Linked DNA regions of Tamandua tetradactyla. The protein of the gene in region 1 binds, or shares a complex with, the protein of each later gene. Links are inferred from orthologs where the notes say so. Each region holds a gene or a part of one and is shown in the gene's direction. Other genes may lie near its edges. The genes, in order: MED4, MED13L, MED18 and MED7.

Region 1 (7,319 bases):
CCTGCAACACTTAGCTCTTATGAGTTTCTGCCTCTATCTCCTCAAAGAAGCATTGTCAACTGCTGTCTTGTTCACCTTTATAGCGCCAGCCTTCAGTGTGGTACCTGGTATAAAAACAGAGCTTAATAAACACTGTTGAAAGAATAAATGAATCTATCAAAAGAGGCCAGTGATGATGCCCACCTTTCCTTTGAGTACTGAGAGGTGGCAAGTTTCCAAGGAAGCCTAGAGAATTTCAGGGAAGAGATAAGACTTTACTTTTAGAAAGCCTGATTAGTTCTACATGACCTTTTCCACTGCAACCACACCACAAATATTTAAAGGCAATGAAAGGTTCAACCTAAACTGTTTTTCCTCTCAAGGCACAAGAATGTAGGGAGTCAATGTCAAATGCCACACTTCCTGCAAGGCTAATGACTTTAATAACATTGAGTGATTTTGGACAATGGGTGGTTTTTGTTGTGTTGTGACTTTGGAATGAGGAAGATAGGAGTATTCTGATGAAGATTTCACAGTGTAAGGAGGACAGGAAACTTCTACTGATGTAGTGCTGCCCTATTTGGATTTAACTGAGATGATCTGGTTTATTAAGTGCAGTTAAAATGGCACATTTTGAGACATTCTTGAGATTGATTTAAAAGTTGGTTTTCCTTCCCTAAAAGCCATCAGTTTGCTCAAACCCAACCACTGGTGGCATTTCCAGAGGTGTTTTATGGTTTCAGAAACCATAAATGGTGGTTCTTGGTATTAGAGCTTCATCCTAAATTGTGTAATATTTTTTACTAGGGATTAGACTTTCTGAGACCCAGACTTTGAGGTGGAGTCTAAAGGTTTTTTGTTTCTTGGAGAGGGAAGCTAATGAACGCAACAGCCTGCTTGTCTTCTCTCATTGCCCAGACTTCTGGGAGAGGAATGCCTGTGACTGATTCTCCATCCCACCCTTGGCAGGCTTGATCTTGAACATGAGCCTACAAATTTACTTAGGGAACTGGCTGTGAGAAAAGCATTCAGAACAGAAGAGGCTTGGATTCTTTACATAGACTAAAGTCTATGTTTCTTTAGTTGCATGGCTCCCAGGAAAATGGCTGCCACATGGCTGCAGAATATTCCATATTTGGTTGAGGAAGTTATAAATATTTGGAGTTTTTGAGAATCTTCAAGGAGCATGTGGAAAGGAAATATTGAGAATAAAGTTTTGCTGTTCAGAGGCAAAAATACAGATCATTATAATTTTTTTATTGTCTTTTATTCCTATTTGAGTCTGGCTTTTGGTGATCTCAGCACCACAGTCAACAATAAATCCAATGATATTTATTAGTGCCTACTTGTGTCAGTCATCATTCTAGACACTGGAAATGTGTCAGTAAGCCAAAGAGACAAAGTACTCTGCCCTCTTGGAGCTTACATATAACGGAAGACATAATTAGCAAAACCGTATCAACTTAACTGTATAGGATGTTAGAAGATGATAAGCATGATGGGAAAAAAGTAAAAAGGAATAAACATGATGGAATGTGGTAGTCAGACTGCAATAGTAAATAGGGTGGGCATCTTTGATGAAATAAGATTTGAGGAAGTCTTGGAGGAAGTGAGGAAGTTGACCATGTGGCCTTCTGGGGCCAATGGATTGTACTTCCATGTACATTTCCTATGAAAAAGGCTATTCACTTATGTAGCCACCTTAAATGCAGTTATCAAGTTCAAGAAATTTAGCGTTGATAAAAAGCTTACACTCTGCATGCCAATTTTTTCTTATGCCCCAGTAATGACCTTCTGAGCCTTTTTCCTCCATTCTTGGATCCTGTCCACATTTAGGATTGCATTTCATTTTCATTATCTAAACTTGAGCTTTAGGAGAATCACTCTGTCTGCAGCTGAGAACAGTTAGGAGACAACTTCAGCAAATGAGGTCGAGAGATGAGGAGGTATAGACCTGGTAGCAGTGGAAAGGGTGGAAAGCCAAGTCCTGGACACATTCTGAAGGCAGAACCATCTTGATCTCCTGAAGGATTGGACGTGGTGAATGGTTAATTAAAAAAAAAAAAAAAAAAAAAAGGAGAGGAGTCAAGGATAACTATAAGGTTATGAATCTTAATAGATTAAGAAAATGCTTAGCATCCAAAGTTACCATTAACTCAGTAAATGAAAGCTTTATGAAATAACATGTATTTTATTTATCACACCTAGAGCTGCATATTTTGCAAAAAAGTTCATTTGTAGAAGATGTTATTACTTCTCAGAAAGTTGGCAATGCTCAGAGTGCATATGAATTTGCAATAAATATGAGATGCTTTAGAGTTCACAATAAACATATAATCACCATAAACTGACCCTCGATGCATAGTAAATGTATAGTAAAGTAGGACCTATAATTGGTCATTTTTAACCATTTGGAACTCTCCCAGAATTTATGTGGGAACTTATATTAATAAGATCTCCCCTCTAGGGCTCACCAGTATCACAGACCAAAATTTTCCTTTCAGAGTTAAGTAAACAAAATCACCATACTACAAGAGTTTGGCACCTTTAACTTAACGCAAGAAATTACTTACTGGAGATTCTGGGAGGCATGCTTAGAATGCTACTGCAATTAAGAAAGCTTACATCTAATTTATTCTATTGCCTGAAGTTGGGGGATGGTCCGAACACAAAAGGTGGGAGTCCCTCTCCTGAACTCTCTAGGGAAGGAGCCATGCTACCAATTAACACAAATATTACAGTCTCTTAAACACTAAATATCTTTACACTGGGGAGATACAAAACCTGTTGAAAGCATTCATCAAGATCCAACTGTCTTCATTTGTTTCCACCTGTTCTAGTTTGCTAACTGCCAGAATGCAATATACCAGAAACAGAATGGCTTTTAAAGGGGGGAAATTTATTAGGTTGCCAGTTTACAGTTCTAAGGCTGTGAAAATGTCCCAATTAAAGCAAGTCTATAAAAATGTCCAAATTAAGGCACCAACAAGAGGTTACCTTCACTCAAGAAAGGCTGACGAAGTTCAGGGTTTCTCTCTCAACTGGAAAGGCCTATGGTGAACAGGGCGACATCTGCTAGCTTTCTCTCCAGGTTTCTTGTTTCAGAAGTTTCTCCTGGACATTTTCCTTCTTCATCTTCAAAGGTCTCTGGCTGCATGGGCTCTCGTGCTTCTCGTGGCTCTGAAGCTTTTTGCAAAATGTTTCCTCTTTTAAAGGAGTCTAGTAAACAAATCAAGACCCAGCTGGAATAGATGGGTAATACCCATCTAATCAAAGGGTAATACCCACAATTGGGTGTGTCATATCTCCATAGAAATAATCTAACCAAGATTCTAACCTACAGTGCTGAATAGGGATTAAAAGAAATGGCTGGTCCACAAGATGGATCAGGATTAAAACATGGCTTTTGTATGGTACACAATCCTTTCAAACTGGCACACATCCAAGGTCATGAACCAGCATTCTGGGGGATGATTTGGTTTCCCGTGTAGGATTCTCTAAGGCGTTATTATTTTTCCCGATAAGTAAATAAATTGGCATTCTGGTTTATACCGCAATTACTAGCGAGAGAATTTATTTAGCATCAATCCCCAAAGGAAGCATCACTTCTGGGTGCACAGTGCCAGTCAGGTTCAGTACTTCCAAAAGGACGGGCCATGATCCTGCAAATACTCCAGCCTTACTCTCAGAAGTCTTCAGGTGACATCTCTATGACAGGGACCTGGTATGGGGTCCTCACTCCCCAAACTGTTGCAGCTTTAAGCTTCCCTGGTAGGAAAATCCCCTTTTCCACAGTTGTCTCCAGGAGAGGTGAGCTACTTGAGACTTAAGTGGGCAAAAGTGGATTTTCGGCTTTGGCTTTGGGTTCTGATTGAGCTCACCGGATGTGTGATCCAATTCTTCATGTAAACGGTTCTCATTAACCACTACTGACATATTATACTAATTCATTCTACTCAACAGCCATCTCAAGAAATCCTTAGGAGCCCAGCCTCTGCGGAAACAGCCTCCTCGAAAGGCAAGGATGGAGGGTTAGAAGAGCATTATAGGCATGCAGATTTCACGAGTAAACTGACACAAGCAGTAGGCGATTATTTAATTTCCATTCAGCCAAAATCTCCAGCTCCCGATGGAAAAACCCTACGTACTCTCACTAAGGTACCGCTCTGGCCGGTCGGGTTTGGACCAAGGATCCCCTCTGGTCCAGCAGATGGCGCCAAAACCCACAGTGTACTTCCGGGCACCTTGGGGACGCTCTGGTCAGGACTCTCCCTCGCCTCGCCTCGGTGACCTTTCCTTCCGCCTCCCGAGCTCGTCATTTCCGACGCTCGCATGCGCCGGCTACTGGCGGTTGGGGAGGATGGCGGCCTCTTCGAGTTTGGAGAAGGAGAAGGATCGATTCGGAGGCGGCCCGGGAGCGGCCAGCGGAAACAGCACGCGGGAGCGGCTGTTTTCGGCGCTGGAAGATCTGGAGGTCTTGTCGAGGTAAAGCCGCTGGCCTGAAGGCCGGTGGAGTAGGGCCGGGAGGGTGGACCCCGGAGCTGGGCAACCCCGCGATGAGCTTCTTGGAGTTCGGCGGGAAGGGTCGTGCTCGGGCAACGCCGGCACGTACCCCCAACGACAGTGCACCAGTATCCGCGATGTGGCCTCCGCAACCCTCCCGGGATCCGAGGCCGCGCTTTTCCCCATCAGCGCATATGAATAATGACAATAACTCTGGAATCCCAAGGCTACGATAGCCATATTGGGTCTTGGACATCACCCGGTCCTCCAACACCCAACAAGCATTTATGGAACGCCCCCTGGGTGCCAGGCGATAGGAAGGCTGTAGTGAACGGGAGTCTGGTTACCATCCTGGAGGAGCTCAGTGTCAAGAGGGAGAGGCAAACGTGTGAACAGCGACTTCGATGCGGAGCTTGTTTTTATCAGAGGCGTGGCTGCGGGCTCCTGTAGCATAAGGACCAGGTCTGCTCCGATGCCTAGGTAGTCAGAGAAGACTCCCTGGAGAAAGGGCTGCTCAGGACGGAGTTCAGTAGGCTCACCGGGCGGCGGGATGATGGAAGAGCAAGTACAAAGGCGCGACTTGCTGGTGTAATTAATTCCAAGTTGTTTGGGGTGGATGTAGTGCAGCGTGTGGCCTAGAGGTAGGAGATTGTCTTTCTCCATGTTCTGTCACCCTTAATGGTACTGTAAAGTTGGAGCCTTCCGTAATCCAGTCACATTCACTTGGGTGTTAAATTGTATTGTTTCTATCTCCTGAAATGTTGCTCAGATTTGCTCTCATTTCCATCCCCGCTGTCACAACTATTTTTTAAGGTATCCTCCCGACAGCTTTACTTGCCTTCATGCTTCTGCACTTTATTCTGTATTGCCCAAGAGCAGAGTTATCGTTCTGAAATAGGCATCTCTTGTGACTTCTTATCTTAAAAACATTTGATGGGTTTGTTCCCATTGTCCGATGAGGTAAAGTCCAGGTTCCTTAGTTTAGTGTGCAAGTAGGTGTGTTGTAAGGTTCTTTATATAGATAGCCAGGAATAGCAGGACAAGTGATAACTAGAGATGTTTGAAAGAAGAGTTTATTAGTCCTTAAAAGTCCTGGAATAGAGAGGAGTGGCATGACTTGCAGGCTCACATGGGAGAACATGTCAGGAATGTATGCTCAACCAAGCAGGTGCGTAGCAAAGGTTACAGTGGACCTGAGACTGTGCATTTGTGATGTTATAGGGGCAGAGCTCTAGCGATTAGTCAAGAAAGAGCAGGGATTGGGGAGTTTGTATTTGACTTTTGCAGGGGTATGAACCCGGGGAAGAGAGGGAGAAGCTGTTTATCTTATATAAATAGGTGTCAGGACTGTTCACTGACAGTGTGTAAAGTCCCTATTTTCTTTTAATTCACTCTGTGCAGTCCTTCCCTATCTCCTCTCAATCCACTCTGTTATCCTCCTGTACCACCACATCAGTCTATACCCTTCACTCCAAGATTAGTACTCCCCACCCTCAAAAAGTACTACTTACTCAACTTCACTGCCATTCTCCATCTCCTACTTGGTGAATCATTCATTCGTCTTTCAGAATCCAGCTCGTGTCATCTTTTCTGTAGCCAACATTTGTTGATAGCTCTAGAATAAATTTTACGTATTGTGTTTTGAAATATACCTAACTAAATTGCTGTAAATTTAGTTCTTGCCATCATATTACTTACCAAGTTACTAGGTTAGCCTGATATTAAATATATAAGAAAAACCTCAAACACATGGACACCAGTATTTGTCCTTATGTAGCTTATGTGTTTAATTCAGTGTTTAGTTTGTATTAAACTCGAATACTGCCTGATGGCAAACAATGTTGGAATCTTCATTTGTGGTCAGTGGTGAATGAAAAACTCATAAGCACAGGCAGCTGTCTTAATGTTTTGCCTTGGTGTAAATGTTTACGCATTTTAATGTAAGTGCTATTTCTGTCTAGGTCTTTGCTGGTTTTGTAGATTGTGGTGGAGAACTTAACAGTTTCCTTGTTAATCCTCTTGAATGAAGACCCACGTTATTTCTTAGGAAAAGGACACTAACAAGATTGAGAGTTGGTAGTATAATGTTTCCAGTTAAATTATTTATGACTCAGAACTGTATAAGGTAACTGTTTTGGGGACAGCAAATAGAAGCTTCGTTTAGTTCACATTGTGCTCTTTTTCTTTTTAAGTTATTAAACTCTAAATCATCCCACAAATGCTCTTCATTTGAAAAACTCAGTTTTCTCAACCTCAGCACAGCTCTGTGTAGATGTAACTTTAAACTCATTGCTGGAGCAAACTAAGTCTCTTAAATACTTTGATACAAATGTTGTTCTGATACAAATCTGAATTCCATTTGATTCAGAACAACTAATACTTAGCTGGAAAATACTTCTTTTGCTTCTGTCTAAACCAGTTCTTCCAGTTTCTTGAATTCTGGATCTCATTCTGCTTGAACTATGGCTTTTGAGCTATTTCTTCTGTGAGCATTCTAACCTGAAAGTTGACTTCAAGCAACTGTGCTTAGGAATCTTGATGGTACTGTTAAGTTTGAAATTCATGGAGTTAAAGTGTCCTTTTTTTTAAAATCAGTTTTATGGTATGGATGGTACCAATGAACTTTTCTGTAAATATATTATCTTGGTAGTGGCACTCCTCCAGGAAATAGTTGCCGCTGCCTCTTGTTCTGAGTAGGTCTTCATCTTAGATCTTCAAATCTTTGCCTTTTCGGTTCATTCAATGAATGGGCTGTTACTTCTCACTGTTATGCTCTAGAGCCCTGTAAATTCTTTACTTTTCTGAGCTTTACTTGGTGTAACGTAATTTACTTGTCT
Region 2 (6,843 bases), on another chromosome or scaffold:
AGAGCAGAGAGTGGAACCCAGGTGCGTCTTTAGCATTTACAAAATGCTCTCTCTGCAGCTGCTGAGGCCTCCGGTTAGTCTTCCTAATAGATGGTTCCTCCTTTGGTCATATTTTTGCTTCCATTTTCACTCTGCCATTACATTTGGTAACCATGAAAAGGAACTAACCTGTCATTCTCAGAAGGCGGCCTGAGACCTGTGCTGAGTAGAATTTCTGTTTCCTGCCTAGGAAAGGCACTCTCACAAATGGAGAAACTAAGTCCCGAGGATGCTTAAGAGGTGTCTCTGACATAGGGAACTGCACTTAGAAGCCCTGGTGCTTAGTTCCTTTCTTTAATACTTCCTATTAGATAATTGAGGATTTTGTTTTTGTTTTAATTTTATCTCCTGAGGCCTTCCGTCAACTCCCATTGCTTTCTCTATTGAGAAAGAACTCTGCAGATCTTAATCAGTGATCTCAACTGTGCAGAGAATCAAAAAAATTCATTGTTAGAAATGACCTTAAGGCTCACCCAGGCCACCCTTTTTCACCCAGAAGGAAACTGAGGCCCAGAGAGATTAAGTAGCTTGTCCAAGGTCACCAGGCTGCTCAGGGGTGCACCTGGGACTAGAATCGGATTCCCCTGGGTTCTCTTTCTGTACTCATGTTGCCAGGGCAACCACACTCCACACTTCTGGCCTTTTTTCTCCCATTTTGGTGCCTTGGCTTCGACAGCCAAAGAAATCTCCTTGGATGAGGTTTTTATTTGTTGTTGTTTATAACATACTGCCTTGAATAGGTAATATATGCATTTGGTTTAAAAAAAGAAAAAGAAAAGGAAATGCAAAAAGCATAGTAATTCTTCCCACCGACTTCCAGGTCCCCAGTCCCCCCTCCATAGAGGCAACCGATAATAGTGTCTTGTGTAACCTGCCAGAGTTACCGCTATTAAGAATATATTCTGAAATTATTTTATATTAGTACACATAGTGCTAACTGGGTATTTTTAGTGGTTGCTTGAGATTATATTATTAACCACTTCCCAAGTGATGAACACATACATTGTTTCTAGATTTCACCATACAAACAATGCCATGCCCTTGCACTGCAGGTCTTTGTGCTTCTGTACAAGTCTATCTGTTGGATAAACTCCTAGAAGTAGAATTGCTGGGTCAAAGGGATGTACATTTTAAAATCTGATATTCATCAAATCAACATCCAAAGCTGTGGTGCCAATTTATATTTCCAGTAAAATGTAGGAGAGCCTTGCTTCCCTCAACATGTATCTAAATTTTAAAAATATGGCCAATACTTATTCTGGTTTTAATTTGTTTTTCTTATGATGAATGAGGTCGAGCATCTTTTTATACATTTAAAAGTCGTATGTATTTCCTATTCTGCAATACTGGATTTTGCTCTGTGAGATTTTTTTTTTTAAATTGCTGAAGAATGAGCGCTTGGTAACCAGGTAGGTGTGTAGGATGAAGCCCATCTGGGGTGTAAGTACATGGAATGTGAATAAGGGTAGACTGTCGTACCATCTTATTGTTTAGGCCTAAGTAACACCAAGCATGTTGACAAACTGCTTTGGCATTTTTTCTAAACTTTCAAAACCAGTAATCTTAATATACATTCACGACATTGCCCTGAGGTTGGTGGATCAGTAATTAGGATCCATCTCTGACAGATTAGAAATGAGAGTTAAATTCTTTTGGTTAAAGCAACATCATCAGGGAGGCAAAGCCAGCTCCAGGCCAGCAGTCACCTGGCTTCTGGTCTAGCATCTGCCCACAGAGCCTCCTGGATTCATGCCCTAGCTCTGGAGCCTAACAGATTTGGGTTTGAAACCAGCTCTGCCATTCACTAACTGAGATACCTTGGAGATGTCACTGCATACCTCTGATCCTCACTTTATTACAGTCCAAGGATAATAACAAGTGTCTGCTCTATGTGGTTGTTATGAGGATCATGTGAAATAATGTACGCACATCCTTCATAACACAGTGTCCGCGGAATTGTAACATAGTGTCAGTTGTGATAATAACAGGTAGTATAACATGCTGCTCATGGGTTTTACTTTAGCAGTGTTTGGGAGAGTTCCAAGTCTCAGTTCACCTCTTAACTAATCCCCTTTCCAACTCTCTCCTCTCTTTTAGTCTAGTCTCCTTGAAAGAGCTAGCTCTTCCACGTTTGAGGACATATTAGTGAAGTTTTTTCCTCCCCACCTTTGCAGGGAGTGCACACTTTGAAGACTGGGACAGAGACTATTCATACTGGCGCCAACCGAATTCCAAAGCTATACAGTCTCAGGAAACGTTTATTGAATGGAGTCAGGAGGGTAGGTCTGCTCCCAACATAGCCTGAGCACAGTGCCTGGCACATAAGTGGGGAAATCAGTTATAACATATTGTGGCAGATGGCAAGCGCTCAGGAAACTTTTGTGCAATGAATAAGAATGAATGGATGCACACAGTGCCTAGCAGTGAGGTCTCAAGAAGCATTTATGTATTAAACGCCTAGTACCTGGTATACAGTAAGCGCTCAGTAAACGGCAGCTGTGAATATCCCGGGCGAGGTGCCTGGATTCCGATGTCGGCTCTTCCTTTTCCCTGTAGTGCGACCTCGGGCAAGTGACTTAATTTCTTTGTGCTTCAATTTTCTCATCTATAAAATGCAGACCCACCTTCCGGAGTCAGGTTTTTCCCTGAGACGCTCGCCAGAACACTCGGACTCGCGGCGTGGCTCACAGCTAGCTTCCGCCACGCCAGCCGGTTTGGGAGGCCGGGTCACAAGGGAGGGGACCCCGTGCTCTCCACTGCGGCCGCAGCGGGCGTTCCGGGGTCCGTGGTCGCGCCCCGCAGCACCCCGGGGCACTCCGCAAAGATCTCAGCACCCCGAAGGGGCGGGGCCCGGCGCCTACGCGGGGCAGCCCACGGCAACCTCAAGTCGGCAGGGTGCACCTCGCTGGGGAGCTGGGGAGCTGGGGAGCTGGGAAGCCGGGCCGCCAGCACTTCTTTTCTGTCCCTCTCTGGCTCTCCGTCTCCCTCCCTCTTCCCGGCCTGAGAATCCGCCGCACTCGGCTCAGCAGCGCCTCCCGCGAGCTGCCGCCGCCGCCGCTCTGGGCCCCGCCCCCGCACGCCCCCCCGCGCGGCCGGCGCCCGTCACGTGCCGCAGCGCTAGCCAATGGCGGGCCGAGCCGCGGTCGGCGGCCGCCATTGCTGTCAGAGCTAGCGAGCCGGGGGAGGGAGGAGAAGCGAGGCTGACTGGGGAGGAGGGGGGGGTGGGGGAGGAAGAGGAAGGAGGGGACGTCGCTCGGCTGCCGGGGTCGCCCGCTGGCTTCGTCCGCACCCCCCCCTTCGCGAGTTCGCGCTCCGCGGCGGCGGCTCCGAGGCGGCGGCGGCGGCTCCGGGGCCCGCCACCCCTCACGCGCCGGCGGGGGCCGAGGAGGAGTCGGTGGCTGGAGATAAACAAGGCGGCGGCGGCGGCTGAGGAGCAGGGAAGGCGGAGGCGGCGACCGGCCCGCATCTCCGGTCCGGGAGGCAGCGGCGGCCCTGAGAGGCGGGGAGGGCGCCGGGCAGCGCGGACAGCGCCCCCCGCCGCCGCCGCCGAAGCCGCCGCCGCCGCGGAGCAGGAAGGAGCCGCGCGGCCGCCGCGGACCTCCCCCCCACCCCACGCCAGCCCGGGCCCGCCGCCCCCGGCGCGGCGTCGCTGCGGCGCCTCCCTCCCGCCCGCCAGCCGGCCCTCCCGCCCTCCCTCAGCGCGGCGGCGGCGGCGGCGGCGGCGGCGGCGGCGGCGGCTGCGGCTGCGGCTGCTGCTGCTGCCGGGCCGCCCCGCGCTCCGCGGCGAGGCGCCGCCGCCCGGCCCGGCCTCGCCTCGGACGCCTCGCTCCGACATGCCCCGCTCTGGCGGCCGGGCTCGCGGAGGATCATGACTGCGGCAGCGAACTGGGTGGCGAACGGGGCGAGCCTGGAGGATTGTCACTCCAACCTCTTCTCGCTGGTGAGTAGCCTAGCTGCGAGGAGGGGGTCGTGCCGGGGTGGGGGTGGGGGTCCCCCGACCTCAGTCGCCGACCTCCGCCACCGACCAACTTTCTCCTCCCGCCGCCGCGACTTCGCCCCTCCCGCATTTCTCCCCGCCGTTCGCCTCTCGTCGATTCTCCCCCTTTTGGATCGTCTCTCCTCGCCTTGGATCCCATCCAGTGTTTATTTGGCTCTTTAAAAATCATTTGTGAGCACGGCGCTCGGCGTGGAATTTGCATGTGGAAGTCTCAGAGCTGCGGATTCTGGGTCGCACTTCGAACGCCCACCCTCTGTTGCAGTCACACCCCCCCTTCCCCTCCCCTTTCCCCCCTTTTCCCTAAGTGTGGAAGGCTTTGCCTTGTTGCTGCCCGCGCCGAAGATAAGCAGCCTTTTCGCCCCAGTCGGATCGGCTGCCCGCTCGCCTGCCTTTTGAATTTTTTTTTTTTTAATTCCGTAATGACACCTGCAATTTCGCCCGAAAGCAGTTGATTGAATGCGATTGTGTCAGTAAAGGACTCTTGCCACCGAAGCTCCTGAGATTGTAAACATCGACAGCCGCCTGCCTCTCGGGGCTTACTACACTGGAGCCAAGGCACCGAGCCGGTAGAAGGTGGAGAAGGCTTTTTCTTTTTTTTCTTCCCGTGTCTTTTAAAAACTGTTTTCTCTGTCCTAACAACGAATCCACACACATACACAAAAGCAACAAGCTGAGCGGTGTGATAACATCGCTTTTATCTGCCTTGGCCTCTCTCGCTCGCTCTCTCTCTGATAATTGACAACTTTTCCTTCGGATTTGAATCGCCTTAATCTTGAAGCAGTTGGGGTGTCAATTGTTCTCGTAGAAACCTGGCACCCGATGACAGCGTCTAGATTCGTCGAAATTAAAAACGTGTAGGACTCCCCCAACTCTTTCCTGGTGTTGGCAGTGACAGTTGGTGGTAAATGCCATCTTTGCTTTTTATTGGGTCGTATTACCTACCTCTGGAAACATTCACATTGTTAAACCTGGCGTTTAAGCTAATAATTTGCAGTGCGTGGTCTTTAAATATGTGCTTTGTGCATGAGTTACTGTATGTATAGCTATGTGCCCGTGAGAATACGAATTTGTTTAAATATTGAGCAAAGATTTGTAAACAGATGTAAGGTAATTATGTTTCAGGGGTAGAATATAATTAGAAAATTGGCTAAAGGATTTATTTAATTTAGCCTTAACAAAAACCAACTTATATTAAGTTGTGTACCCTGTTTTGAGGTGACTGCTTTTTGGAGAGCATTCATTTTGGAAATTATTTTTTTGTAACCTCTGTGGTAAATAGAAGCATCATTTCCTCTTAATCCTTGTTAATACTGGATAAATAATTTAGTGTTCAAAGTGTAATTAGTTATATTTAATTATGGGTGGCATAGATTTTTTTTTCTTTGAGACCAGTGAAGAAATGCAAATTCATGCCAACTTTTCAAATGGAAGTGCTATTTTATTAAATATGTTACAGTATTTATGCAGCTCAAAGAAAACAACACATGCGATTTTTTTAACCTACAAAGACTGAGTGACATAGTGTCTGTGCTTCCATTATAGTAGGATCAGGTTTCTTTCTTTTTCTTCAAGCATTTTTATTCAGATATTTAATCGTAAAATTCAGTTATATGCAGGGATTCTTACTCTCAGTAGATTTTTTTACTCAGAAGATTTTTTTACCATATGGGAATAAAACTCTATATTCCTCCTCTTTTTTTTCCCCCCTCTGTCTACCATTTACCATCAGCCAGGTCCAGGGAGTTTCATAGATTAGCAGATATTGATTAAGGGATATTTAAAGTGTTGTTTGGCAGCGGATGACCACACTGACACTTTCACAGGTAATTAAAATAACCAAATAGGCCAATATTAGTGAAGAAAGATCCCCCAAATTACCATAGATCATGCTGAGGACTAATGGCTTGTGTATATGTAGCTAATTTTTATATGGTAGATTCCTTAGACAACTGACAATATATGATATGTATAGGCAGTCTCTAGGATGTGTCATTTCTTTTATCTTCTTTTATCTTTTAAATGAGAGTCATGTAGAGAAAAGATTGAGATTCTTTTGGAGAAACAAATAGTTTTATAGGAGAGGATTCTGTACTTTGTAATGTCTAACCAAAGGTTGTGCTTTGGGTATTTCTACCCTAAATCTTTTTAAACAAGGAACTGATTTTTTAATATATATGTATATTTTTAAAGAATGACTTTTCAGGTAGTAACTTTAAAATCGTAACCACAGAAATGGGTATGTTGATTTGTTTAAGACATTAGAGAGTCTATTTGTTGCCTTCCCTGTACATAAAGGGTGCTAATTTTTAAAAATTATCAGTTAAAAAAAACTTTATTATTGTACATTTTTCTGATTCCAAATTAAGAATTTTCATTGAAAATCACATGCAGCAACAACATAAAGTATTAAAAAATAAGTTCCCTAATACATTATATATGATAGTTGATAATTCCAGAGGGGATTTCATTTCCTGTTCAAAATAAAGCATGACTTATAAGAACTCTTTATATGCTTGATACTAGCATATTTTTTCTTTTGGTCTGCTGTTTCTTTGAGCAGAGTTGTTTATAGTGAATTTACCTAGATACTCATTGGTATAGATTGAAATATAAACTAGAGATTAAAGTTCTGTATCACAGTAATGACCCACCCACTTTCAGTTACCTTGAGGGGTTCATTGTGGCTTAGCAAAAGTTGATTGCGCAATTAGGTGCCTTAAGATTTCTGCCAGTGCTTTACTGATTTTGTTTTCCGATTTTTACATTTCTACCATCTGCCATCAAATTTCCTAAATTCTCTCCCCACC
Region 3 (7,005 bases), on another chromosome or scaffold:
TCTCTGCATAGATTGTAAACATCATTTATTGGTTGTGTGGACTCAGGCAAGTCATTTTACTTCTGTGAATCTCTTTTTCCTTCACTATAAAGTGGAGAAGGTGTATCTAGCTTTTAGTAGTATTTACAAGATTTATAACTATATAGCATAAAATGACTAGCATGTAGCAGCTGCTCAATAATTGTGATCAACATAATTTTTGAGAACATGTATAAAGAAATATGGGATTCCTCCCCTTGAGATGTTTACTTTAAATATATAAAGTATATAAATAATACTTTATAAACATTATGCCCTTTTACTTTTACAAACTTCATCTTATAAACTACTATTATTATTTCCAATTTACTCAAAAGGAAATTGAGGCTCAGAGAAGGGAAGTAAGTTGCCTAAAGTTGCACAGCAGGATAGTGGTAGTGGCAGGTTTGAGCCCAATTCTAATCAACGAGTCTTATATCTTATCAAAGAAACCCATCCCTATAACTCAAAGGCCTCATCTATATTTTACCATATTGTTCACCCATTTTTTTGTTTGCTTGTTTGTTTTTTGTTTTACATGGGCAGGTACTGGGAATCAAAACCAGGTCCTCTGGCATGGCAGATGAGCATTCTTGCCTGCTGAGCCACCGTGGCCTGCCCATGTTCACCCAGTTCTTATTCATCCCTCTAAAAAAAATTATTTAACCAAATGTCATCTACTGTGAAATGCCAACTAAACTTTGGGATAAATACTATGGTGCCTCAAAGAACCTATAATTCACTGGTCTTTCTGTTCTGAAGTTAGTGTCTGAATAGGAAAGGAGAGGCCCGGTATTTTTACATCCTCCTCCAGTCATTTTGTCATTGAGAATTTATCACTCAGACCAATCTTGTGAATCACTAGTGTGGTCAGGGGTGCATCTTAAATCCTGAGTTATATGCAGCCTTAATAACTGTAAGAGGCTTATGCAAGGGCCAGTCCTTGGCCATCTTCTCCTCTTCTACACACTCTTCCTGGTTGATCTCATTCATTCTCATGCCATCATCTATGATCTATAAGGCAAGAATTATGAACACTCTACCTCTAGCCCAGCTCTTTCTCCCCTAAATTTTGGCAGGACATTGTTACTTGAGTGCCCCATAAACACTCATACTCAATGTGTATACATGTGAACTCATCTTTCTGACCCACTCACGTTTCTCCGTGTTTCCTAGCTCAGAGAAAAGAATTGCCATGGCCACCCAAGGTAGAAACTAGACATTTGTGACTCCTTCCTCTCTCTCTCTGCCTTTATCTCTTAGTCATCAAATCATTACACCTTTTATATTTTTTAAATCTGTCTTCTCTCTTGGAGTACTCTTTTAGCTAGAGTTGATCCATAGCTCTTAACTGGTCTCCTTTCCAAAGATTTTCTCCATATTGCAACCCCTGTGATCTTTTTAAAATTCACATCTGTTTTTCAGCCTGCCATACAAAGTCCTCCAGGATTTGGGCCTTATCTGCTTCTCCAGACTCTTTCTTACCCCTTCCATAGATTCTATCTATGTACCAATTCTACTTAACTTGATATCCCTTTGTACATAATATTCCCATTGCCTGGAACTTCCTTTCTGCCATTCACTGTCTGGCCAACTCTTATTTAATTTTCTGAGGCAGCTGGAAAGGGAAGGGGTGGGCGGAGGGACCCGTTCCTCTTGGCCTGCACATATCTAGCCCTCACTCAGGTCAGCACCTGAAAAGAACCAAAGAAAAGTGCAGCTCATCAATTCCTTATTAACATTAATAGAAGGGGAAGGGCCCCTCTAAGTCTTATAATGTAGTAGTCCCAATCTCAGAGTGCTCTCCTCCTTTGGAGAACACCTATGCTCACCCCCTTTGAGGGTGCACTTTCGCTAGTCATTAAACATTTTGGCTATTGTTTTAATTTGTTTAAGCTGCTGGAATACAATTTATCAGAAATGTATTGGCTTTTTCAAAGGGGATTTATTAAGTTACAAGTTTGAAGTTCTAAGGTATCCAGAGAAAGATACTTTGACTCCAAAGAAAGGTCAATGTCTGTCACATGGGAAGGCAGGTGGCTAATATCTGCTGGTTGTTCTCAGTTTCATTGCTTCCAGCTTCTGATTCCAGTTGCTTCCTCTCTAAGCGTCTGTGGGATCATACTTCGTTCTGGGACAAAACTCTGGGTCTCACCTCTTAGCTTAGCATCTCCTGGGGCCAGAGATTTCTTCTCTTCAGGTTTTGGCTATTTCTGTGAGTTCTTATTTAACACCTGGGCTATTTCTGTCCTGATCTCCAAAGGTCTGTGTCTAAGTTGCTTCTGAAGCAATTGTCCTTTTCCAAAATGTCTCCCTTTTTAAGGACTCCAGTAACTAATCAAGACCCACCTGAAGTGGGTGGAGTCACATCTCCATCTAATCAAAAGGTCACACCCAAAATTGGGTGTGTCACATCTCCATGGAAACAATCTATTCAAAATTTCCACCCTAAACAATATGTCTGCCCCCACAAGGTTGGATTAGGAAAAGAGCATGACATTTTTGGAGTACATAACAGTTTCAAACTACCACAGTTAAACACTGACCAGTCCTCAAATTATTTCCTGTGGCTCAGTGAAGAACCTGCATCATGTCAGGTCCTGGATGAGGTCTCTGAGAAATCCTGGGGCTCTCCAGCATCCAGCTGAGAACTCCCCAGGCTGTCTGGCATTTAGTTTATTAAGCTTTTGGCTGCACATACTGATTAGCTCTTAAATTCTTTCTTGTGACTGAGTTAACAGCCCTCACGGAGCCAGCCGCTGGTTGAGGTCTCAACCTCTCAGAACTCCCAGAACTCTGCAACATCACCTCAAGTTCATCCAGTACTAATTACCTCTTTCAGGGTACCCCCTTTGATCCTCCCAGGATGGGTCAAGTACCCTGCTTGCTTCCAAAGCAGCTGGGCTACTTTATATTTACCCATTTTATCAAGTTACATGGTGCTGTCTCCTTAGTTTAATTCTCCAATAGCGACAACTTGACTATAAACTCTTCTGAGGGTAGAAATGGAGTCAAATCAACAAGTAGCAGAATATTTAGAACACAGAAGACTCCCAATTTAAAAAAAGAAGAAGAAAAAAAAAGAATGGTAGATAGTGTAGGGGAACCATATCTAGAGTGACAATATACTGTAGTAAAAGTGTGAACTCTGAAGTCAGCTACTTAGATTTGTATTCAAGTCTCACTCCTTCCCTGAAAGTTAATAAACATCTCATTGCCTAAATTTTCCCACCTGTAAAATGACAGGATGCTGTGAGGATTAAAATTTAAATTTTGATATTTTGTTAACTATGGATTTTTTGCTTTAACTTTGTAAAATATCATTTTTATCGCTTAGTCATTTGTTTTTGTTTTTGTCTTTACACTTCTTTCAAATTTGTGCCCCAGGAGAGTGCCTCACAGGTCTCACCCTGGTCCCGGCCCTGCCCTCATCTTATGTGCTTGATATAAAAGCAGCTTTCCATAAGTATTTGTTGAATTTACTTATCTCCCTTTATTTTTATATTGAGTATAACATACATTTACAAAGAAAAGTGAACAAACATTAAGTGTATTACTGACTTCCCTAATTGAGAAGAACATTATAAAAGTTTTCAGTAATGAATAACAGTGGCGTCTTCATTTTTCTCCCTTGGGTAACCCCCCAAAAATGGCTTTTTTTTTTTTAATGTCTTTCTTTTATAACATTCTCCCCTTCTCCTCTCATTACTTTGCAGTTCCCTTCCCCAGGTTCTCTTTTCCTCTCTGAGAAGCATTGCTCTGAGTCCAAAGTTTAGGCATGATTTCTTTTTTCAGTCCTATCAGCCCCAGGAGATTTCCTACATAAAAACCTCTCCAGGTCGTCGAACTTGGAAAAAAAATGACGTCACGACCGCGGATCATTCCCATAGGAACGCCGCCATCTTCCATACAACAGCATCAGATCTTGCGCATGCTCGTCTGCTTGCACAGCGGAAGACGGTGTTTCGTGCCCTCTCGGCACCCGTACATTGAGGGATTTGGTAGACGTCTGCCGTCCTACCGGAAGCGGGAAGAAGAGTGGTTACTGTGGTTGTGCTTGGCCGTGCGCTTTCCCTGCTTAGGTAACGTGGGACTGGAAGTTGCTTGGAGCTGTGCTTAAAGGCTCCGAGGTGCGTGGGTGGCTGTAATTCCTGACTTTGCGAGAAGAGGCCAGAGCGCCCGCTAAGTTGTATTTCTAGTGTAAGTGGGTAAGTGGGCACGTGTTCTGGAAGCCAATTTAGGAGTAAACCTCATCTTAAAAGGACTTCGCTTCCCCCCCCCCCCCCCCCACTCACTTTAAAAGGCGCTTTCAGTGTCTAGGAGGCAGAACCCCTGGGTTTCAGTCTGGCCTGAGCTTTGTCACTGACTTGCTCTGTATCCTCGGGCCTCTCTCCTGGTTTCAGTATTTTCGTGTGTAAAAGGAAGGGTAGACAACGTTTCTTAAAATTTAGTTCTTTTGAATTTTATTGTACGTGCATTATGTCATTTGAGCTACACAGACTTGGGGGTCAGGTATCGTTTGCCTCATTACTGTTAGGAAGACACTGAGTCCAGCATGAGAGGTTGCTCAAGATTACACAGCTAGGTTTTGGAGGATTTAGAACTTGGGACGAGAACATTATGCTGGAGCAGGTCAGTCCTGTATATTTCTGTATCATCAATTTTTGGAAAAAAGACCTGTCTAACATAGCAATTACCAAAAAAAAATTGATGAATCTTTTGATATTAAGGCCAGTTACGCAAGCAGACCCATCATCTCTCCATCACTGATGTATAAACAACTCTAACTCTTCTCAGGTGTATCCTGTGCCTTACCTGATTGGGGGCTGAGTCTGATTCTTTTGTCTTTGACTTAATCAGTCAGACATAATGGAGGCTCCTCCAGTCACCATGATGCCTGTCACTGGGGGCACCATTAACATGATGGAGTACCTGCTGCAAGGTAAGTGAACCAGAGAACTTGGATGATTTGTCTCCCTTTATCTTATTCAGTTTCCCTGGAGATGGGAGACTGTTAATACAAAAGCAGCCTGCAGTTTCTGGCACTCCGTAGCCACCTTTTTTTTGTCCCTGCATTTTATTATGAAAAAATTAAAACATACAGAAAACTTCAAGGAATTCTGCAGTGAACCCCTGTATATTTGCTACCCTCATTCTAGTTTTCACTTACTATACTTCCCTTATTATGTATCTGTCCATCTCTCCATCCATCAGTCCATATTATTTTTTATGCATTTCAGTGTAAGTTGAAGACCTCAGTATATTTTCTCCTAAGTACTTGAGCATGCATAAAATTAGAGTTCAAAATTTGTTATTTTCTCTGAAGTAAAATTTATATACAATGAAGTACATAAGTCTTAAGTGGACATTCCATGAATTTTAACAAATGCATTCACCTGTGTAATCCAGACCCTTTTCAGGATATGAACAGAGAAGGTAATGATTTTCAGAAGGTCATATAATGTTTAGTGGAGAGTTTAGACTTTAAATCAGATAATTCATTCAGTAACTTAATAGGCTGGGAATAGGGTTATTTTTACTTCCCAACTTGCTCCTCCTTCCTTCTTCTACATCTCAGTAAGTGGCCCTCTTATTTACCTGTTGCTTAAGCTAAGCAATTAGGAGTAAATCTGTTTTTCATTTTACTCCTTCATCCAGTCTAAGTCTTTTTTACTTTATTTACAAAATGTATTTTAAATATGACTTTTCTCCACCTGCAATACCACTGCCCTAGTTTGTCATCTCTTGTCTGACCTACTTTACTAACCTTCTGCTTCTAATGTTCCTTCCTCTTTTGCTCCTCTCTTGTCCCTTGTCATACAACAGCCGGTGATCTTTAAAAAAAAAATTATAAAAAATATGAAGATAAAAAAATAGACTAGTATACTGAATATTCCATATTCATCATCTAGCTATGCTAACATTTTGCCATATTTGCCTCATTTGTTTTCCTTTGCTGATATTTTTAAAGAAAATTTCGACATCATAACATTTCATCCTTTAACACTTCTATATGTATCTCTTAAAAAAAAGCATATTTTCCTCCATGATCGCAATACCATCATTAGCATTTAACAAAATGAATAATTTTTAATGTCATGTAATACCTAGTCCATATTCAAAATTACTCTGAATACTTTTTTCCCAGGCTTTCAAATGACGTTCTCATTTTCATCATTTGGGTCTCAGGTCAATTGTCTCTTGCCTTAGAAAAGCCTTCTCTGACCATTCCACCCCCTCAGAAAGTTCTTTCCTTCATCCCCACCAGTTGCTCTCTACTCCGTCTCTCTTTTATTTCTTTGTATTTCTGTTAATTTGTTTACTTAGTGTTTTAGTGTTTTCACTACTAAGCCCTAATCTCTGCAGGGCAGGGCCTCCTACTGCCTAGCACAGTGTCTGGCACAGCCTTCAGTAGGTATATGTTAAATGAACCAGCACTTGTTAAGCATTTAAAATGTTTGAGGAATGTAAGAGGATAGATAGGAGCGAAGGTGATTCTCTAATGGGTCTAGAAGTAGTGTTAGCATATTGAAGATGATCAAGATTCAAAGGGGTGGTATAGACCTACGTGTCCCACTGATTCACACTAGAAATATGAATGAGCTCTCATAAGAATTACTTCAAAGATGTGATTCTTGTATAAAGAGTGTTTAAGTCCAGGTTACAAGGGGAAAACTGCTGTTGCATGCGATGAGCTATGTTCAAAAGGAAGCCATCAGCACTGCCACAGCAACAGCAGAGGTAAATAATGGGGTGAGGGACAAGAGTTAAGAGGAGATTTAGATTTCCTATTTGGCAAGGGTGTGTTTATTGGTTTTCTGTCTCTTGGAAACAATGAAATTATCTAAAATTGAGAATGTTGATGGATTGTGAACTTTGGGCCTTCTACATGATGCCTGATGAATGCAGGTGGCAGAAGATGCACTGATAGAGAAGTAGATTGGCAACCAATGGTGTATACTTATGAACGAAGGTTGTGCTGCTACA
Region 4 (6,987 bases), on another chromosome or scaffold:
AAAAATGGGCAAAAATTAAAACAATTAACCGAAGAAGAGCTACGGATGACAAATGAGCAAACGAAAGATGCTCAGCATTTGGGAAATGCAAATTATAGACACTACACAGCTATTAGAATGGCAAAAAGTAAAATAAAAATGACAATATAGAGTGCAGGGGAGGATGCACGGCATCTGCAACTCTCATACATTGCAGGTGGAAATGAAAACTGACTCAGCCACCTTAGAAAATAGTTTGGCAGTTTCTTATCTATTTACACACACACATTATAAGTCTCAGCAATCCCATTCCTATGTAGTTACTCAAGAGAACTGAAAAGTATATATTCATACAAAGACTTGTTCATGAATGTTTATTACAGCTTTATTCATTATCATCCCAAACTGTGGGTGACAACCCAAATGCCCATCACCTGGGGAAGGGATACTCCAATTTGGTGCATACAATGTAAAACTCCTTAGCTATAAAATGAACAAACTGCTGAAACATACAACATGGATGCACTTTATACTAAGCGAAAGAAGACGGGTTTTAAAAATCTACTTACTTTTTTATTCCACTCACATGGTGCTGTGAAGAGGCAAAGATATAAAGACAGAAGTCAGATCAATGTTTACCAGGGGCTGGGAGAGAAGGGAGAGGATTGACTACAAGACAAGAAAGGGATTGTTTGGGGCATGGAATATTCTACATCTTGAGTAGTGCTGGCCGTGGTTTCACAACACTGTGCATTTATGAAAAGTCATCATATTGTACACTTAAAGTTCATTTTACTCTGTGTAAAAGATAGCCCAATAAATTAGCCTTAGAAAAAAAATCAACAGAGTGGAGGAAAACATTTCCAAGTATCTTCGTTTGTCACTTAGTCTCAAATGATAAAGAACAATGCTCTTTAAAATGTGCCCAGCTCCTAAAACAGGAAAATGCTGTTAGTGCAGACCCAGTCTGTTTCTCTCCCCTTATCTCCTCCCACTTTTCCCTCCTGTGTCTCCAACTCAGGAGGTTCATGACTGCCTCAAGCAGTCGGCACCTGTGGTACCCTGGATCTTTGCATGGTGGGTTCTTTGTGACATTCGTGTCTCAGCTCCAAAATCACCTCCTGGGAGAAGCTACCCTGATCATCCTCTATAACATAACCAACCCCAAACCCACATGGCCATCACATTAATCTATTTTACCCCCAGTACTTATCACTATCTGAAATTTGTGTGATTGGTGTCTGTCTCTCTACTCGCAGGCAGGGCTTTATCTTTTTTTATCCTTAACCTTCTAGGAAAGTGCTTGACACAGTAAACATGCAAAAAAAGATCCACTTATTATTAATTACATTCATTGTCAAGTTATATGAGACATTTTTAAGGAATAAACTTTGCATTTAGATTCTGGAAATATCACCACGCAAAGAAATGTTTATTACATGCCGTATTCACTAGCCCTTCTCATGACGTGAATTTTATTCATCTGTAGCTTATTGGAAAGAAGGTAAGACTAAGGGTCAAGCATCGGGATCCTGCCACTAGCTGTAAGACCATGCATCATTTGGCCCATTAATTCCATTTCTAGGAATTTATCTCCAGGAAAAAAATGGGACCTATGCACAAACATATAGGCATCAGGCTGTTCATGCAGTGCATTTATAATAGCACAATTTGAGAAGTAAAAAAAAAAATTGTCCAGTGAGGCTTTGGCTAAATAAACTGCAGTATATTAATCAATATCACACTGTGAATTCCTTTAAAAATGATGATTACATTCATTTTGTTATCTATTCAATAAGTATTTATTGAGTGTTTGCTGATTTCACACACTGTTGTTCTAGGTATTGAGAATATGCAGTGAATAAAACAGACTCTACACTCCTGAATGTTGTATTTTGATGGGGAAGACAGACAATAAAAAATAAACAAGTACACTAGACAATATGATTTCAGATGATAATTTCTGTGCAAGAAGGATAGCACACAGTAAAGGGACAGAGAATGACTGGGCATGTGCAATTTTATATAGAATGGCTGGGGAAGAACTCTCTGAGAAGGTTAGATTTGACTAGAGACCTGAGTGAAGTGAGAGGATGAGGCAGGTGAACATCTGTGGAAAGAGAGTTCCAGGAATATCAGTGGCCTGAGACTGGAGTGTGCTTGGCAAGAAATCAAGCTACTGTGACCGAAGATGAGTGAGCCTCGAGAAAAATGGTCAGAACTAATATGTAGGAGAAAGTCAATGACTAGACTTTGTAGTGCCTTGATATGAAGAGAAGCCTTGAAAATTTTTGAATAGAGGAGTGACCAAAATCTGTCATTGATTAAGGGAGGTCAAAAAGTGGAAGCAGAAAGCCCAGTTAGGAGGCTATTACAGGATGGTGGCATGTACCAGGATCTTAGCAGCAGGAATGGTGGAAAGCAGGCATATTTAGGAATCTATTTATTTTCACAATAGAACGAATGTAAAATGCTGGTAGTTTGAACATGGAGTACGGGAGAAATAGAGGAGTAATGTTTTCATCCTTTGCAATTGAGTGAACAGTCAAGATGTCTAATACTATGGGATATGGGCTTCTGGAAGTTATCAGACTAAGAAGTAGTTTGAGAACTGAGTCCCTGGGCAATCCAAATGATCAAACAAATGTGTCAAATGCAGCTGAGAGGTGGGGTAAATGAGGCCTGAGAATTGACACTAAAGGTGACTAATATAGGCCACTCTGATATCAGCAGAGGGAACAAAAGCCTAACTGAAATTTGGTAAAAAAATAAACAAATTTCTTCAACAAATTGAGGTGGGGAAAAATCGAGTTGGAGGAGGGCATGTAGATTAAAAAATTAGTTAAGAGGCACAGCCAACACAACCAGCAGTCCTTGTTTGGATCTTGAGACAATTGGAGTTTGTCTCCAATTAAAGAATTATTGCTAATTTATTTTTAAATGAGATAAAATGGTTGTGTTTTAAAAAATAAGAGTCCTTATCTTTTCAAGATGCATGCTGAAATTTTTACGGATGAATTGAAGTAACAACTATGGGTAGGTAGGTCATTGCTGAACTTAAACGATGAGTACATGAAGTTGGTTTATACTATTCTTTCCACTCATGTCTGCAATTCTCCGTTGTTTTTAAAAAATCAACTACCTTATTTTTGAAAGGATTAAACAGAACTTTTTTATCAGAAAAACAATCTTATTTTCTTGTGCAGTCTATACTTTTATGATTTTCATAAAAGTTACGAACTTGTTCCGTTTTCTGCTAAAGTAAATCTCTACTTGGAAGTATTATTTGAAACGGTAGTCTTGTAAGACTCCCACGAATTTATAGGAATTTGTGGTATTTCCTGTGAAAATAACCTCCAAAATAAATCTTCAATTCTGATATTTTTAATAATTTGTATTTTTTTTTGGCCTGGAAATATAATAGACACCTCTGAATTCCTAACTGAAAATAAATGTGAATGGATGGTGAATAATATAATGGACATTATATTTGCACCAAATAAACCTATCTTCCTTTGGCCTCACACAGAAGTTGAAGCTTTAAAATAGACACCATATGATCACCATATAAATGGACATTATATTATTGATTCCCAAGCACGTTCATAAATATTTTCAGGTTAAAAAATCATAAACAGCATAAAGAGTCCCATCTCATTTTTATAAACGTTATAAGCGTTAGAGGTGACACAATTTTTAAACTATATGCTTAGGTGTGTTTTCTAATTTCTATGTAAGGGATATGGTAGCCTTGTTAAATTTTCAAAAAAATTTAAATTTAACAACAACAAAAAAGGAACAGAGCGACCAGCCGCTGCCACCACCGAAAGAAAGTTGGGGATATAGAGACGCAAACCCGCATCCACACCCGGTACTCAACTTCGTAACTAAAAAGTCAGGCGAGGCGGGGAGTAAGAGGGGTGAGCGCAGGCGCAATAGGAAGCCATCTGAGGCGGGACTACAATTCCGGTTAAAGGACAGCTCTTGCAACCAATCAGAGGGCAGCACCAGTGGCTTCTTCCTGGAGAAAGAGGCCGGAAATCGGATTTGGGCTGCGGTGGCGACGGCGTTGCCAGTGTCAACCTAGAGCTAGGTGAGTGGGCGGTGACCGCTTTAGGCTCGGGTATGCGCGCCTTTCTCCTTCCGGACCCCGCGGTTTCCTCAGGGCTGGGCTGGGAATGGGGGGAGTCCTGGAGAGGTTCGGCCTCCGAGGACGCTTGCTCGGCTTCCTCTCGCTCTTCCTTCGGGAGCCCGCGGGATGGCCGGCCGGCCGGGAGCTGTCTTCGGTGTGGCCGGCTGGGCACTTCTCGGCGTGGGGAGGTCGAACCGGTCTGGAGGTTGGGAGCCCTGGGTTCTAGCCTCAGGTTTTCCAAGCTCAGTGGGCTTGGGCGAGTCATTTCCTCTCCCCGGCTTTTTGTAAAATGGGGTCTGGAGCAGTTGTGAAATCAGCTGAGTTAAGGGAAGGGGGTAGGCATGGGGAAGGTAGATCCATCCATAACCACAGATTGGCCTGAAGACATTTTGAAAACCATCTTCAAAGTGGTCCTGACCACAGTAAGCCTACTGAGCCTTATCCCTGGGGGCGGGGCCCTGGAATTCCTGGGTGAGGGAGAGAGAGAGTGTGTGTGGCTGAAGTCCTCCAGAACCGGGCAGATACCAGAAGGTGAATCTTGAGTCTGAGAACCGCCTATGATGCGTGGCGCTTGTTTTACTAAAATAAATAAGACTCCCATCGCCCTCGAAAGTTATCTAGAGTTGATAGAGAAATGAATATAGTTTCTGCACGTTTCTACTGCACAATTAGAAGCGTCATAACTTATTAAGAGAGCTTGGGCTTGGGCTAAATAGAAGTGGGTAAAGACTCCTTGCTCTGCCATTTAATAGCCGTTTAATCTGGGACAAATACTTTCCCTCCTTGAGCCTTGGGATCCTCTCTCTAAAATGAAGTTGATAATGGTTCTTAACTCATAGACTTTTAGGAAGATTAAATTAGAGAAGATATGAACAGTGGTACCCATCATGCTGTTGGCCTTTGGAAAATGGCAGCTGAAGATGCTCAGGAGCACAGGACAAGACTCCTAATCTAAAAACAATCTTGTGTGTGATGAAACCCAGGCTGTCTAAAATTTTACTTTGAAGTTTCATATCAATGATAATTCCTTGATTTTCCTAATTATGCTGTGGTTACAAGAGAACATTCTTGTTAGGATGCTTAGTGAAGTGATTAAGGGTAAAGAGATGAGAGACCGATTAAGCAAAGAAGGAAAAGGCTAACATTTGAAGAATGTTCTTCTGGGTGAAGAATACAGGGAGTCCTTTGTACTACTCTTAAAACTTTTCTCTTAAGTCTGAACTTAAAGTAAAAAGTTTTAAAAATTGGTTATAAATATTTGCAACTAGCATAAGCTTGCCGTAAATAATTAAAACACATCTATAAAGACCCTTGTCACACACGCAAGCCCCTTTTTCCTGAATGGATTTATAGTATTGTATAGATGTGGATTATTTCTCTTTTCAAATGTGCTGCATTGAATATCCTTGTGCAGTTGCATTTGTGTATTTGTAGTGGTATTTTTATAGGATCAGTTTCTAGAAGTGGAATTGTTGGTTCAAACTGTATTAGAGTTTTAAATTTTCATATTGCCAAATTAAACTCCAAGTTTATACTGGTTTCCTTTCATAAGTGGTGTTCCCATATTTTGTTGGATTGTATTGGCCTGCCATCTCAGGGAGTTAGGCAGTGGTGGGGATGGTGGCTTCTGTGAGAGCTGAGGTGAGTGAGTTCTCCATCTGAGAACACTTCCTTGCTGGGATAGAATTAGCAGAAAGACCTTCCAGAAGTTGTTGCATAGATGTTCTTACGTTTGATGAATGATGGTTTTATTTACTTGAAAAAATGTATTGGTCTGAACATTTTCTCACTTTTACTTCGCATTTGCATTATTCTCTTTGTGGGTTTTTTTTTTTCTTTTGGGTGTGTGGGCCAGTAATTAAACCCTGGTCTCCTGCATGGCAGGTGAAAATTCTACCACTGGAACATTTGTGTACCCTGTTTTTTTAAAAATATTTTTACTGACATATTTTTGCATACAATGAGGTCCATTGACATATAATTAGTGGCTCACAATGTATCACATTGTTTTGTACTCATCACCATGATCATTTTTAGAACATTTACACCACTCCAGGAAAAAAAAAGAAGAAGAAAGAAAAGAATATGCATCCCATATCTCTTACCTCTCCCTCTCATTGACCAATACCTCTCAATTGGTATTGCAGTCTACCAATTTTTTACCCCACCCCACTATTATTTGTCATTTTTTGCCCATGTAGTTATGGTGTTTGAATAAACTTACCATACAAGTTAAATTGGATAATGCGCTAACAAAATATAAATTTTGCACCAAATAAACCTATCTTCTTTTGGTCTCACACAGAAGTTGAAGCTTTAAAATAACACCATATCATCCTTTACCCTGTATTCTGATTTGCCTTAGTCTTATCCAGATCAGCTTCATTCATATCTAGTCGAAGTCTGATCACTTTATCAACTTTTTTGACAGTTCCTTTGTGGGGTAATGCTGACTTTCATAGCTTTAGAGCTCTAACTCTGAGTCTCAGGTGTCACAGAAATACCTGAAGTTCCAGGGAATGACCAGGTTATACACAAATAGCTCAACATCTCAGAGTTTAGAAATAACAGTTGCAACTCTGGAATACATGGTCTGCTGTAAGAACTTACGATCTAGGAGCCTTTACTGTAGGCCCCAGCCTAATGACCCATGCTATCAACTTCAGTTCTCCAAGACTATATATATAGTTTTTTTCTTGATTTCCTCCTTAGATTGCTCACTACTAGTGTATAGAAATGCAACTGATTTTGGGATGTTGGTCTTGTGCCCTGCCACATTTCTGTACTCACTTATTAGATCTAGTAGCTTTGCTATAGATTTTTGGGGGGATTTTCAACATATAGTATCATATCATCTGCACACACTGGGAGTTTTA

Evidence for each region.
Region 2: MED4 (region 1) and MED13L share a complex: the UniProt entries of both Homo sapiens proteins name them as parts of the mediator complex. The link is inferred for Tamandua tetradactyla from reciprocal best matches to the Homo sapiens genes MED4 and MED13L.
Region 3: MED4 (region 1) and MED18 share a complex: the UniProt entries of both Homo sapiens proteins name them as parts of the mediator complex. The link is inferred for Tamandua tetradactyla from reciprocal best matches to the Homo sapiens genes MED4 and MED18.
Region 4: MED4 (region 1) and MED7 share a complex: the UniProt entries of both Homo sapiens proteins name them as parts of the mediator complex. The link is inferred for Tamandua tetradactyla from reciprocal best matches to the Homo sapiens genes MED4 and MED7.

Annotation. Positions count from the first base shown.
Region 1 is NC_135330.1:110,209,826-110,217,144, forward strand, and holds the start of MED4 (mediator of RNA polymerase II transcription subunit 4), read left to right. Parts: upstream 1-4,299; 5' UTR 4,300-4,339; coding exon 4,340-4,464; intron 4,465-4,493; exon of another isoform or gene 4,494-4,944; intron 4,945-4,958; exon of another isoform or gene 4,959-5,123; intron 5,124-7,319. UniProt on the Homo sapiens protein: Component of the Mediator complex, a coactivator involved in the regulated transcription of nearly all RNA polymerase II-dependent genes.
Region 2 is NC_135331.1:16,692,201-16,699,043, reverse strand, and holds the start of MED13L (mediator of RNA polymerase II transcription subunit 13-like), read left to right. Parts: upstream 1-3,839; 5' UTR 3,840-3,907; coding exon 3,908-3,979; intron 3,980-6,843. UniProt on the Homo sapiens protein: Component of the Mediator complex, a coactivator involved in the regulated transcription of nearly all RNA polymerase II-dependent genes.
Region 3 is NC_135328.1:197,874,012-197,881,016, reverse strand, and holds the start of MED18 (mediator of RNA polymerase II transcription subunit 18), read left to right. Parts: upstream 1-3,980; 5' UTR 3,981-4,100; exon of another isoform or gene 4,101-4,226; intron 4,227-4,815; 5' UTR 4,816-4,887; coding exon 4,888-4,960; intron 4,961-7,005. UniProt on the Homo sapiens protein: Component of the Mediator complex, a coactivator involved in the regulated transcription of nearly all RNA polymerase II-dependent genes.
Region 4 is NC_135346.1:38,235,671-38,242,657, reverse strand, and holds the start of MED7 (mediator of RNA polymerase II transcription subunit 7), read left to right. Parts: upstream 1-3,962; 5' UTR 3,963-4,072; intron 4,073-6,987. UniProt on the Homo sapiens protein: Component of the Mediator complex, a coactivator involved in the regulated transcription of nearly all RNA polymerase II-dependent genes.